Linked DNA regions of Drosophila melanogaster. The protein of the gene in region 2 interacts with the protein of the main gene of each other region in a pairwise test. Each region holds a gene or a part of one and is shown on either strand. Other genes may lie near its edges.

What was found.
Region 1: the proteins of out (region 2) and Bsg interact in a two-hybrid assay, tested with the Drosophila melanogaster proteins (one large-scale study listed by BioGRID).

The regions. Positions count from the first base shown.
Region 1 is NT_033779.5:8,086,356-8,091,311, reverse strand, and holds the start of Bsg (basigin), read right to left. Parts: upstream 3,009-4,956; 5' UTR 2,796-3,008; intron 2,703-2,795; exon of another isoform or gene 2,607-2,702; intron 2,210-2,606; exon of another isoform or gene 1,919-2,209; 5' UTR 1,649-1,918; coding exon 1,576-1,648; intron 1-1,575.
Region 2 is NC_004354.4:19,318,964-19,324,039, reverse strand, and holds the start of out (outsiders), read left to right. Parts: upstream 1-1,933; 5' UTR 1,934-2,384; intron 2,385-5,076.

The DNA.
Region 1 (4,956 bases), on a different chromosome or scaffold from region 2:
GATGTATGGAATAAAGTAGAATAGGTAAATGGATAGTATGCATAGAATAATAAATAGATGGAACCGCCCGCGCGGGCATCATAGACAAATCCCCAAGGAAGGTGGAAGGTGCGAGGCGGGGCTGCCCAGTTCCATATGTAAACAAAATGCAGGCCACCGTTGCCGGTTCGTATCGGGTACGTATCGGGCACGTATCGGTTAATCGGTAAATCGATTCGTTCTGGTCCGCTTCGCTTTGGGTCGGCTAAAGTTAATATAAACAAGCGGGGAAAACCAGAGACAGGCCGTAATTATTGGACCGCATGTAAAATAGTCTTCTTAAGGCTAAACAAAAATTCTTAAAGATAGCCCTCACTAGAACCGAAATGAACTTGATACTCTGCTTTTGCGTCTGCTTCTGCTTCTGCTCCTCTGCTTTTTTTTTCCGACATTCGCCGCTGTTCTCTTTCAGCAATTGTGTGGAAAATTGAAAATCAAATGAAATGCGGTCGCGCGAACAGTGGAAAAGCGACGGAAAACCTACGACGAAAACGGCAGGGGGAAAAAACATAAGCAACAATGTCAATATGGCAGCACTGCAATCCAATCCCAAGTCCATCCAACCGACCCAACAATATGAACTATAAAAGCAACACGAAAATATCGAAGTCCGCTTAACTAGAGGGCAAAACAGTAGAATGCAGCACAGAGACCTTGTCCAAAGTTGGAAAATGGATGGTGGGTGGCTCGTGGGTGGCTGGTGGGTGGATGGTGTCCCGTGCAATATGAAAAGAGAATACATAAAGCCGGGCAAAAAAGAAATGTGATTGTCCATTTTGTGGTTCTATTCAAAGACGAGAACGTGAACGAAATAAAAGTTTCATTTTTAAAAGCGCGGACTCAAATATATTAATATTTTCGAATATCGCTGGTAAAACCCATTTGTGTCTTGTGGCTAAAGGACCAGCAAAGTGCCCCTTTCTGAGATCCCCTAATTTGAAGAATTATCGATACATTTCTCCGATAACTTTACCATTGATTTAAGTCGCCTCGTATTAATACTGTTTGTTTCCATTATTGCGGCTAGGGTCTGGCTTTAGGGTGAACTTGGAAGGGGTAAAAGTCAGGTGGTGGGTGGACGAACACCCTCGCCCTTTGGTGGGTGCACTTTTGTTTTGGGTGGCGGGGCAATTAGGGGGCGTGGGATAAGGTTAGTGGGTGTTACAGTAAGCCACAAACAATCTGCTGTTTTTTATTTATTCCCTTCCTCCTCTTGCTCCACCTCTTTGTTTTGCTTTGTTCGGTTCGGTTGTGTTCTGTTTTGCAATTTCTGCTATCACAGCTGCAGTTTAACCATACTTTCCCCCATATACATATGTATGTATATTTTTTGTATTCCTTTATACTGGGCTGCTACGTACATAGGTGTGTTAATATTATATGTGTGTATGGGTGGGTGTGTGGTTGGGGCAGGGTGATTTTATGGGCGGGGTACAACTTATAGGTTAAAAGGGCCTTCTTTGTTTATCATTATGCTTATTGTAGGGGGTTCATTCTTTTAGATTTAGAGGGGTTTTTTCGGGGGGCTGTACTCACCAAGTGATTGAGCATAAATCGCTAAAAATATCGAGAGGAATGAAAGAGCGCTAGCCAAGAATTTTGCCTCCATCTTTGGTATTGATCCGTTGTTGTTGTTGGTTGTTGTTAATTATGCTGCCGATGTGTGGTTGTTGTTGTTGGCGGTGACTTGTTGTTGTTGTCGTTTTCGTTATTTCCTTGTCATTTGCATTTATTACAGATTTGTGAATTTACTCCGTTTAATGATTGATTAATTATTTGTGGCTGTTGGTTGGTTGGTTGTTGATGTTGTTGTTGGTTGTGGTGTTTCTTTTTCTTTGCTTTTCTTATTTTTTTTTTTTTGTACTTTAAGCTTAACTTACTAAATCATTATGGTAAATATTAATTTATAAATAGATCTTTAAATGTATACGTTATTAGGCTTAGTTATTTAATTTGATATTAGTTGATGCTGTTGATGTTGTTGGTTGGTTGTTTGCTTTGGATCTTCCGTTTGGTGTTTTGCTTGAGTGCGAATTTTTCTATTTTTTGGCTCTTCCAGCTTTCCTATTTTGTTCTTAATTCATGAAGCTATATTCGCAAATAAAAATATTTAAGAAAATTTCTCATTTTGCATTTATTTTCGTATGAAGGCAAACTTTTCGTGCGCTTCCCCGTATTCTTTTTGTTGTGTTTTTCGTTCGGTTTTATTTGTATGCTTTTTTCCAACAACAAAGGCAAAAGGAAAGACGAGTGAGAGAAAACTTTTTAAAATTATACATCAATATTCAAATTAAGAAGAGATTGTGGAGAGGAGCGGAATCAAGGATACAAAAACAAATCGAAAAGATCAAAATCAAAACGAAAGCCGAACGAACAACATTCAACATTCAGCTAAATGTATAATTTTTCAAATGTCACATTTAATTTTTTTTTGTTTTATTTTCACTGCAGCTAAGCACGTGCTGTTCACATAAGTGGGGCGGCGGGTGGTTGGGTTTTTCTTTTAGCCCGCTAATTTAACGTTAACTTTTGCAGTTCTTTTTTCACACGCACTCACACAAACGCACATCTAACTTTTCCCAGTCCAAAAGTTCTATTTTTTTGCTGGCTAAGCAGAAAAAAGAAATTATGGCACGTTGACGACGAAAATACTATTTTTCTGGCTAGCCAACGAGCAAAAGAGAGGGAGATAGAGTGAAAGCAAGAGAAAGAGAGTGAGGGATTCTTGAGACTGAGAGCAAATAATTATGTTTTACACAAGGAGCGCAACAATTTCTAGCTGCTTTTTAGCCAATGGCCATTGTTGTTGCTGCACGTACTTGTACTAGTGTAGTTGTTGTTTCTGTTTGGCTGTTCTTGCACAACGGGAACACAAAAAGCAAACGAAATTTGGCAAACGGACGGGCCAAAACGAGGCAAACAGAACAGAGCGAACAGAGCGAACGCGGCGAATTCAGCGAGCAGACTGAATCGCACACATGACCAACGGACGAGAGTAGCCGCCTTCGCTGCGGCAGCGACGTCGACGCACAGTGATTTGGGTTCAGTTTGACATACACTTGTCAGCTTATCTAAATAGTTCGGCCGTTATCTTGACCAGACCGATTACGAGTACTGTACAAAATGGCGAAAAATAAATCGAGTTTAAACGACATTTTTTCATTATACAGGAATCTTTAGGAATTTGAAATCACCTGTTTTATTTAAAACAAAATGCAGAAGCTAGGTCTGACTTCAAGCTACTAAATTAGCTAGAAACTTAAAAAAAATTTTAAAACCATAAATTGAGTTATTAATCAATATTTGCTCTTGGAAACCTTATCTTACAGTTCAATAGGAATTTCCCAAATTGACGGAATTACAATGTACTTGTGCTCGTATGGGCCTGAAAGTACGCTACTTTTATTCACTTTTCTCTCAGCCTATAGAAGCACTTAAGGAACAGTATCAAACAAATTGCAATCGAGCAATGATTCAACAAAAATCACCAAGTGACAGAGTCTGCGAGTAATTACGACCAATTATTTGACGATCGAAGAAAAATAGCATTCCATTTGCTTCACCGCATGACGTCCGCATAAAAGCTGATAACAATTGGCCCGAGATCTATTATTACTTCTAGAATTTCGTATTGCGGATGTGTCGAGAAAACAACTATTCCCACTCTTATCAATGCGGGAGGACAGTCACCGAGTAAGCAGAATAGATAAGAAAAAAAAAAGGGTAGAAGCTATCACCAGAGCTGGCCGATTTCATTATCCATGAACATTAGCTTTAAAATTCCTCAACTGACGAAAGGCATCAATGTTTGAAAAACAGCTAAAATAATAAACCTTACATAAGAATTAAAATTCTTACTCGTTTCTATTTCCCCCCAAAATAAAAGCCATAAAACACGTAAACATTTTTGAAAGCAATTGTGTTATACAAGGAAACAGCTCAAAAAAAACTAGTCAAAATAAATTCTCAAACTTTTGGCAATAAAACCGTCGAACGGACAACGCTAAATCATAGTGCGCTGGATTTTTTGTTTACCGCCAGACGACGTGCGGCCCTCAGCAGAGCAGATAGAACGCCAGTTGAAATGTTTCCGTAACGTGTCACGAATCCGACTCTCATTCTATCGCATTAAGATAAAGCCCCAATGCAGTACTTTGAACAAATACGGGACTCCGTCCGTCCGTCCGTATCACCAACACCAATACTACCGCAACCAAAAACCACACCAACGTCTTGGCCACATGATATAATACCGTAGCCGGAGCATGGTCGACAACGACGTCAGATGTCCGCGGCCCAGTCGCCGAGTCCCAAAGACCCAGACCACCAGACCGTCCAAACTGACCGCCTCTGGTCCATTGCCGTCCCGCTCGCACTGCCGCTCTGGTTTCGGGCGGTTCTATGCGGTTCGCACACGAATGTAGATCTCCATCTTTTCGGAAGGCAGGGAACTTTGCTAATTCGGCATGGGTGTTGGAAAGGTAGGGGTTTTTTGCGGGTTGGCGGCATCGAGGGGGGTTGTCTCGTCGCATTTATTATTGGTCAGCCGTATTTATTTTTACAAATTTGCGAGAGCAAATATGAAATCAGCTGTTCGCATTGCCCGCTGAGATTAAAGCGATCAGGGGGGTATATAGTATTTGATGAGGTGTTTCCAACAACCAAACCATAGAGAACATTTTGCAATGCTTGCAATGAGTTCATAAATAATAAAGAAGCAAGAAGAGTCATAGGACTTGTAGTTGACAATAGAAGTACTAATAATTGACAAATTTTCCAAAGTTCTTGCCAGTTGATAAAGCGAAAAATCTATTACTCATAATTGACGTGTTCGCACAAAATAAAACTGTCGACAGATAATGTGATTGATGAAATATTTAATATACTATGTACTGCATTGGCCACTATGCCTTTATA
Region 2 (5,076 bases):
AACACGGCGAGAAAACAGGGGGCCACTTCTCCTGCTATGGAATAATAATTTATTTATGTATCTACCCAAGAACCGATGGACTGTTGATGTATCGTTTATATTATTTAATAATGCCGAATAAATTATTAAAAACAAAAACTAGCAATGCTATATTCCATTGGCCATCACACTTTCTCCAAGTGCAAGGTTAAGGTGACAGGGGCGATAGGTTGCCGCCGGAACAAACGACTTACTTGTGTCGTCGTATCTAAGGAGTTTTCATGTGGGGAGAACTAGTGGGAGTTGGGTGAGAGAGCGCGGGCGAGCCAGAAAGAGAGAGAGAGAGTGGGCAGAGTGCACAGTGGAGCAATGCGGTGAAACCGAAATAGAACCGTGAGTCAGATTAATTAATTCGCTGTGCACTTGGTAACTTATTGATGGGACCGCAAGGATTGACAAATGAAGGATGGCTGGCTCATTACTAATTGATAAATGATCGAAAGCTTGGATTTTCTTTTCTTTAAATTGATGGGGATTAAGGTAAATGGTTTACATAATTACTTTATTGCCGTCGTAAAAATGAGAAATAGGATATACGGAATCCTTAAAATATTACAGGAAGGGATAAAATCGTAATTGTTCTTTTTTTTTACGAGCGACCAAACGATCGTTAATTGTGGTTAACCCTAGAAAACCTCTTAGGGGTTGCTACGAGTGAGGACTCAATACTTAATCTAGCCCAACCAAATTTTGCTACACAGTTAACTTTGGTTAATCATGAGTTCATTAATGTTTTTATGTTTTAAAGGACCTAAATATGCAATAGATATCAGGTATGAATTATAAATTCATTTGCATATGTTTGTGCATACATTTTTATTTTTTTGTATTCATCAGCACCGAAGTTCAAAATTGTTCTCTGTGTATGGGTATTTGTCTACCAACCAATTAGTGGCTACTGTCTACCTGGCCTGCGACCTTTGAACTTGCTGTGTGGCCGGCAAGTGGCAACAGTTGGTCGGCCATAGAGCGGCTCTATAAAGATCTATTTTCCCCTTACTCTCTGTCTCTCTCTCTCTCTCTGTCTGTTTGTAGCTCTCTCTTTTTTCCCATAAGATGATTTCTGAACGCAGATAATTATTCTTATTCTTATTATATTTTTGTATTAATTTGAGCCAATAATTTTGCCTTTTTCCAAAATTAGTTAAGCATAATAATTTCTATTATATTTCTTATTAATTTAGAAACGTGTTCAGCTCAAAGCTAAACAAAAACATGTCAAAAGAAACGGAATTTTTGTTCAGTGCAATAAGATCTCTGAGCGGATCTATTCAACAGTCCAAGTTCTACGTCGTCATCATGATGGTGTAAACACATTTGCCAAATCACATCACAGCCCACTGTTGAGCCGGTCTTGTGAGAGTGCGATAGAGAGGGGTCGCCCAGGCCAAGACAGAGAGACAGAGAAAGAGACAGGTGGAGAGAGAGGGAAGGCTATTGCCCGGCAACTGCTAATTGGGATGGCTAAATGCTGCATTGCATCCTCTGCCGCGATTCCTGCTGCACTTACGGTGCATCGTCGTCTATCCTGGCGCTGCCCACGCACGAAGAGAGAAGTTCACACTCTTCCCGCCTTCCGCCGGCGGTACAGAGCAAAAAAAAATTTTATTAATTTCGGTTAATTACAAATTTGTACCAGGGACTTAAGCTAACGAATTTCAGAACCGAAACATTCATAAGCTTATGCTTAACAACGTAATTATATAAAATAAATAAAATTGGGAATTTGCTAGCATGCCAAGCATGTGATGTGTAATGTGATCCTTGGTCAAGAGATTTACATTCTCTCTTGCTTGCCCAATGCAAATTTCTCTCAGTGTACGGGCCAGCTCTCTCCGACCATCTCGCTCTCGTTCCGCCGTTTTGCTTTGCCAGTGACTTTGCTTTGCTTTGGCGTAGAGAATGCTATAAAGCAGACCGCAGCAGTGGAATAGCAGCAAGTCGACTGCTGGCCGCGTAACAGTAAACACACCAACGAGCGGACGTACACGGAGCGAAAGAAGAAGTTGGCTACCACGAAAGAGTTATTGTTTGTTAGAAACACCAAGCGCAGCAGCAGCAGCAGCAGTACAAATATTATTGTGTGCCGTCCGAAGAGAACAGCTGAGCCACACGCTGTTTTTTAACGCTGTTCCGTTCTGCGGCACTTGCTGTTTGTTATCCGTATCCGTCGTGTTTCGTCGTCGTATTTGAACTCTCTTTTTGTTACTGTGCATATATTTTTGAAATCTCTGTGCTGCACACAGCGCAGGGGGAAAAGTGCTAGAATTAGCAGATCATCAAGACATCTGGCTAACCTGTGATTTCCAACACACCCGAAGGCAAATTGGCAACAAGTTACCACCGTAAGTCTCGTGTCGATCAACAAGTGAAGATGTTAGTTAAGTGTGGCAAAAGAACTGAACAAGAATTTATTGCATTTGCAAATATACATATGTACTATACCGATAGGAACGCGTTTTAAGAAAGTAATCATGCTTTTAATTTACGTGATGTGTGACTGTTATTTGTGATTCAATATAAGAAGATTAAGAAGATTAATAAGATTTTGTGAAATTTTCAAACTATGCCCAAGACAAATGTAGCCCACTGTTTTGGGGGTAGGGGATTTTCAGAAGCTTTGCTTTTGAGCATAAACCGTAATTAGAAGGCATTAAAAACGTGTGATTTGGAAATTCGTGAATTAAACCTTATAGGATTTCTCTCTCTCTCTCTCTCTGTGAGAGAGTGTGAGAACCCAAATTGAGTTTAAGAATTAGCTGAAGTTTCCATAATAACCACTGGCCAAGTGATTAGTTCACATGGTGGGTGGAATCCGTCTAGTCCAAACCATAATCCCCTGCCCAGTCTGATCTGATCCCGGAACCAAATTGAGTTTTGCCAAAGGTTTCAGCATTTTTCATGTGCATTTTTTTTTCATCTAACCATCGACGGGGAGCAGAAAATGTTTACCAAATTGAATTACACATTTTTATGATGTGCTGGTGCCTTGCTCTTCCCCCTTCCTCAAAGCCACCGCCACCCCGCCGCCTGACAGGCCTCAGGTGCTGTCCTGAATCTGGAAATCCGTGTGTCCGGGTGCCGAAGCCGGAATGGAAGGAGTCCACGTTTTCGAGAGCGGGAATGCATTTATGGCGCCGCCATTAGGGTGGACCAGTAAATTAGGTTAATTGTAGAAAGTAATCGAAAGCTTTAACAGCACCAAATTGCATATTCTGAATCAAGGAGACTGTATTTTTCCCACACTGCAAGTCACATTTCAATATGTAAGTGCTGCATTGAATATGTACATGTTCAACTTATAAATGTGTATTCTATATATATATATATATAGGCACATAATCTATAATCTGTTTTGTAATCACTACTGCTTTTTGCAACTTTATGGTAAAAAATACTTTGTAAATCCTTTGGTGTGCACCAAAATGAGCATGAATGCATAAGCAAACATAAGCGCTTAATTATGAAAACATACCGATTTAACTAGAGTCCTGGATTATAATTGACCGATTATTTGATTAAAAGGCATCCGAGGCATTCAAGAGCAACCAAATATTGTTGGCCGTTGATAACCATTGCTGGTTGCCAAGGTTTCCATAGTATTTGCAATCGGCTCAGAAGTGAAATGCTCTGTCTGAAATTCCGACTTAACTCCCCACCAGATAACCTGTTGCATTTCGCAATGGGGTAAACAATGGAATCACCTGTGCGCCCCCACATTTTGGCCTTCATATGGAAGCACATTCGTGCGCATTCATCTGGAAAATTGATGGTAAATTTCGCATTTAGTTTGATTCTCAATTGAATCAACAGTTCTAAGCCTACTGCTTACGTGTTTGTGCGATGATGATGATGATGTATAATGGTCTATCCACCTTTCGCAAATTTGCAATGGACAAGGAGGCGGTGCAAAGGTCTGTACATAAGTCCAGAATCTCAAGGGGTGATAAGCCTAAAAAAAAGGCAGACTGTTATATGTCAGATACTCGTAGATAGTTAGAGGGGTTTTTCAATGAAAAACTTAGAAGTGTTATTTTGCCTTCTGACACTTCACAATGAATATTCAGAAAAAAAAAAATGGGGAATTAACAAAGCAATATGATTATGATATGATATTATATCAATAGTTTTATTTATCAACATTCAGGTGTGCACTAATTTCTTGCCGCCAAAAACAAAGCCAATCAATAATTTATGTAGATAAGCATTTTGCTTATAACCATGCATTTTCATTATTGAATTGTCATTTTTTATCTTAGTTGAACCCAACTCCGCCTCCTCCGCGTAGATCGTGTGTCAGCCACTTGTCTTGTTTGACAGCACACCCAAGTGGCATTAGCATTTGGGGACTGAAACTGGAACCATTGGCCAGTTTGCCCAAGAGAATTTCTGGGATTGGTTTTGGGTTTCTCCAGTGCACCGCAGTGCACTCCTCTCGGGCCACCACTTCAGTTCACGGAAGGCACCACTTGGTGGGAGTCGGCTTGAAGTACGTGAGTTTATTTGGCTGAGCACAAAAATCAGAGACTCGAACAACACACAAGATCGAAAACAAAAAACAAAATTAAACAAAAAATATAATAAAATAAAAGAAGTGAAGTGAAGAGCAGGGTCGAGAGGAGAGGAGGGGAGAAGTGCCTAGAAATGGTCTGAAATGTGCATTAAACGCTTTGCATAGGAAAGCGACATGGACATGGTATGGGGATTGCGCCGGAGATTGACATTCCCATTCCCATTCCCGTTCGTATTCCTATTCCATTGGGCTACCCACTCCTATTTCCATTTCCCATTCCCTAACCCAAATCCCTACTATACCATTTTCACTTCGAGAATCGCAGAGAACACACAAAACACACATGTGAGAATGTGCCGGGTGTTGGGATTATTTTGTGGCCGGGTGAGGGGCCTTCAGGCCTTCAGGCCTTCGGGCAATAACAATCATTCGAAATGCGCCTTAAAATAGCAAACACCAAACACGTTGCTCATAATCTCCGATGCAATTGAGTGCTGGCAGCCAGCACATGAATGATAACTTTG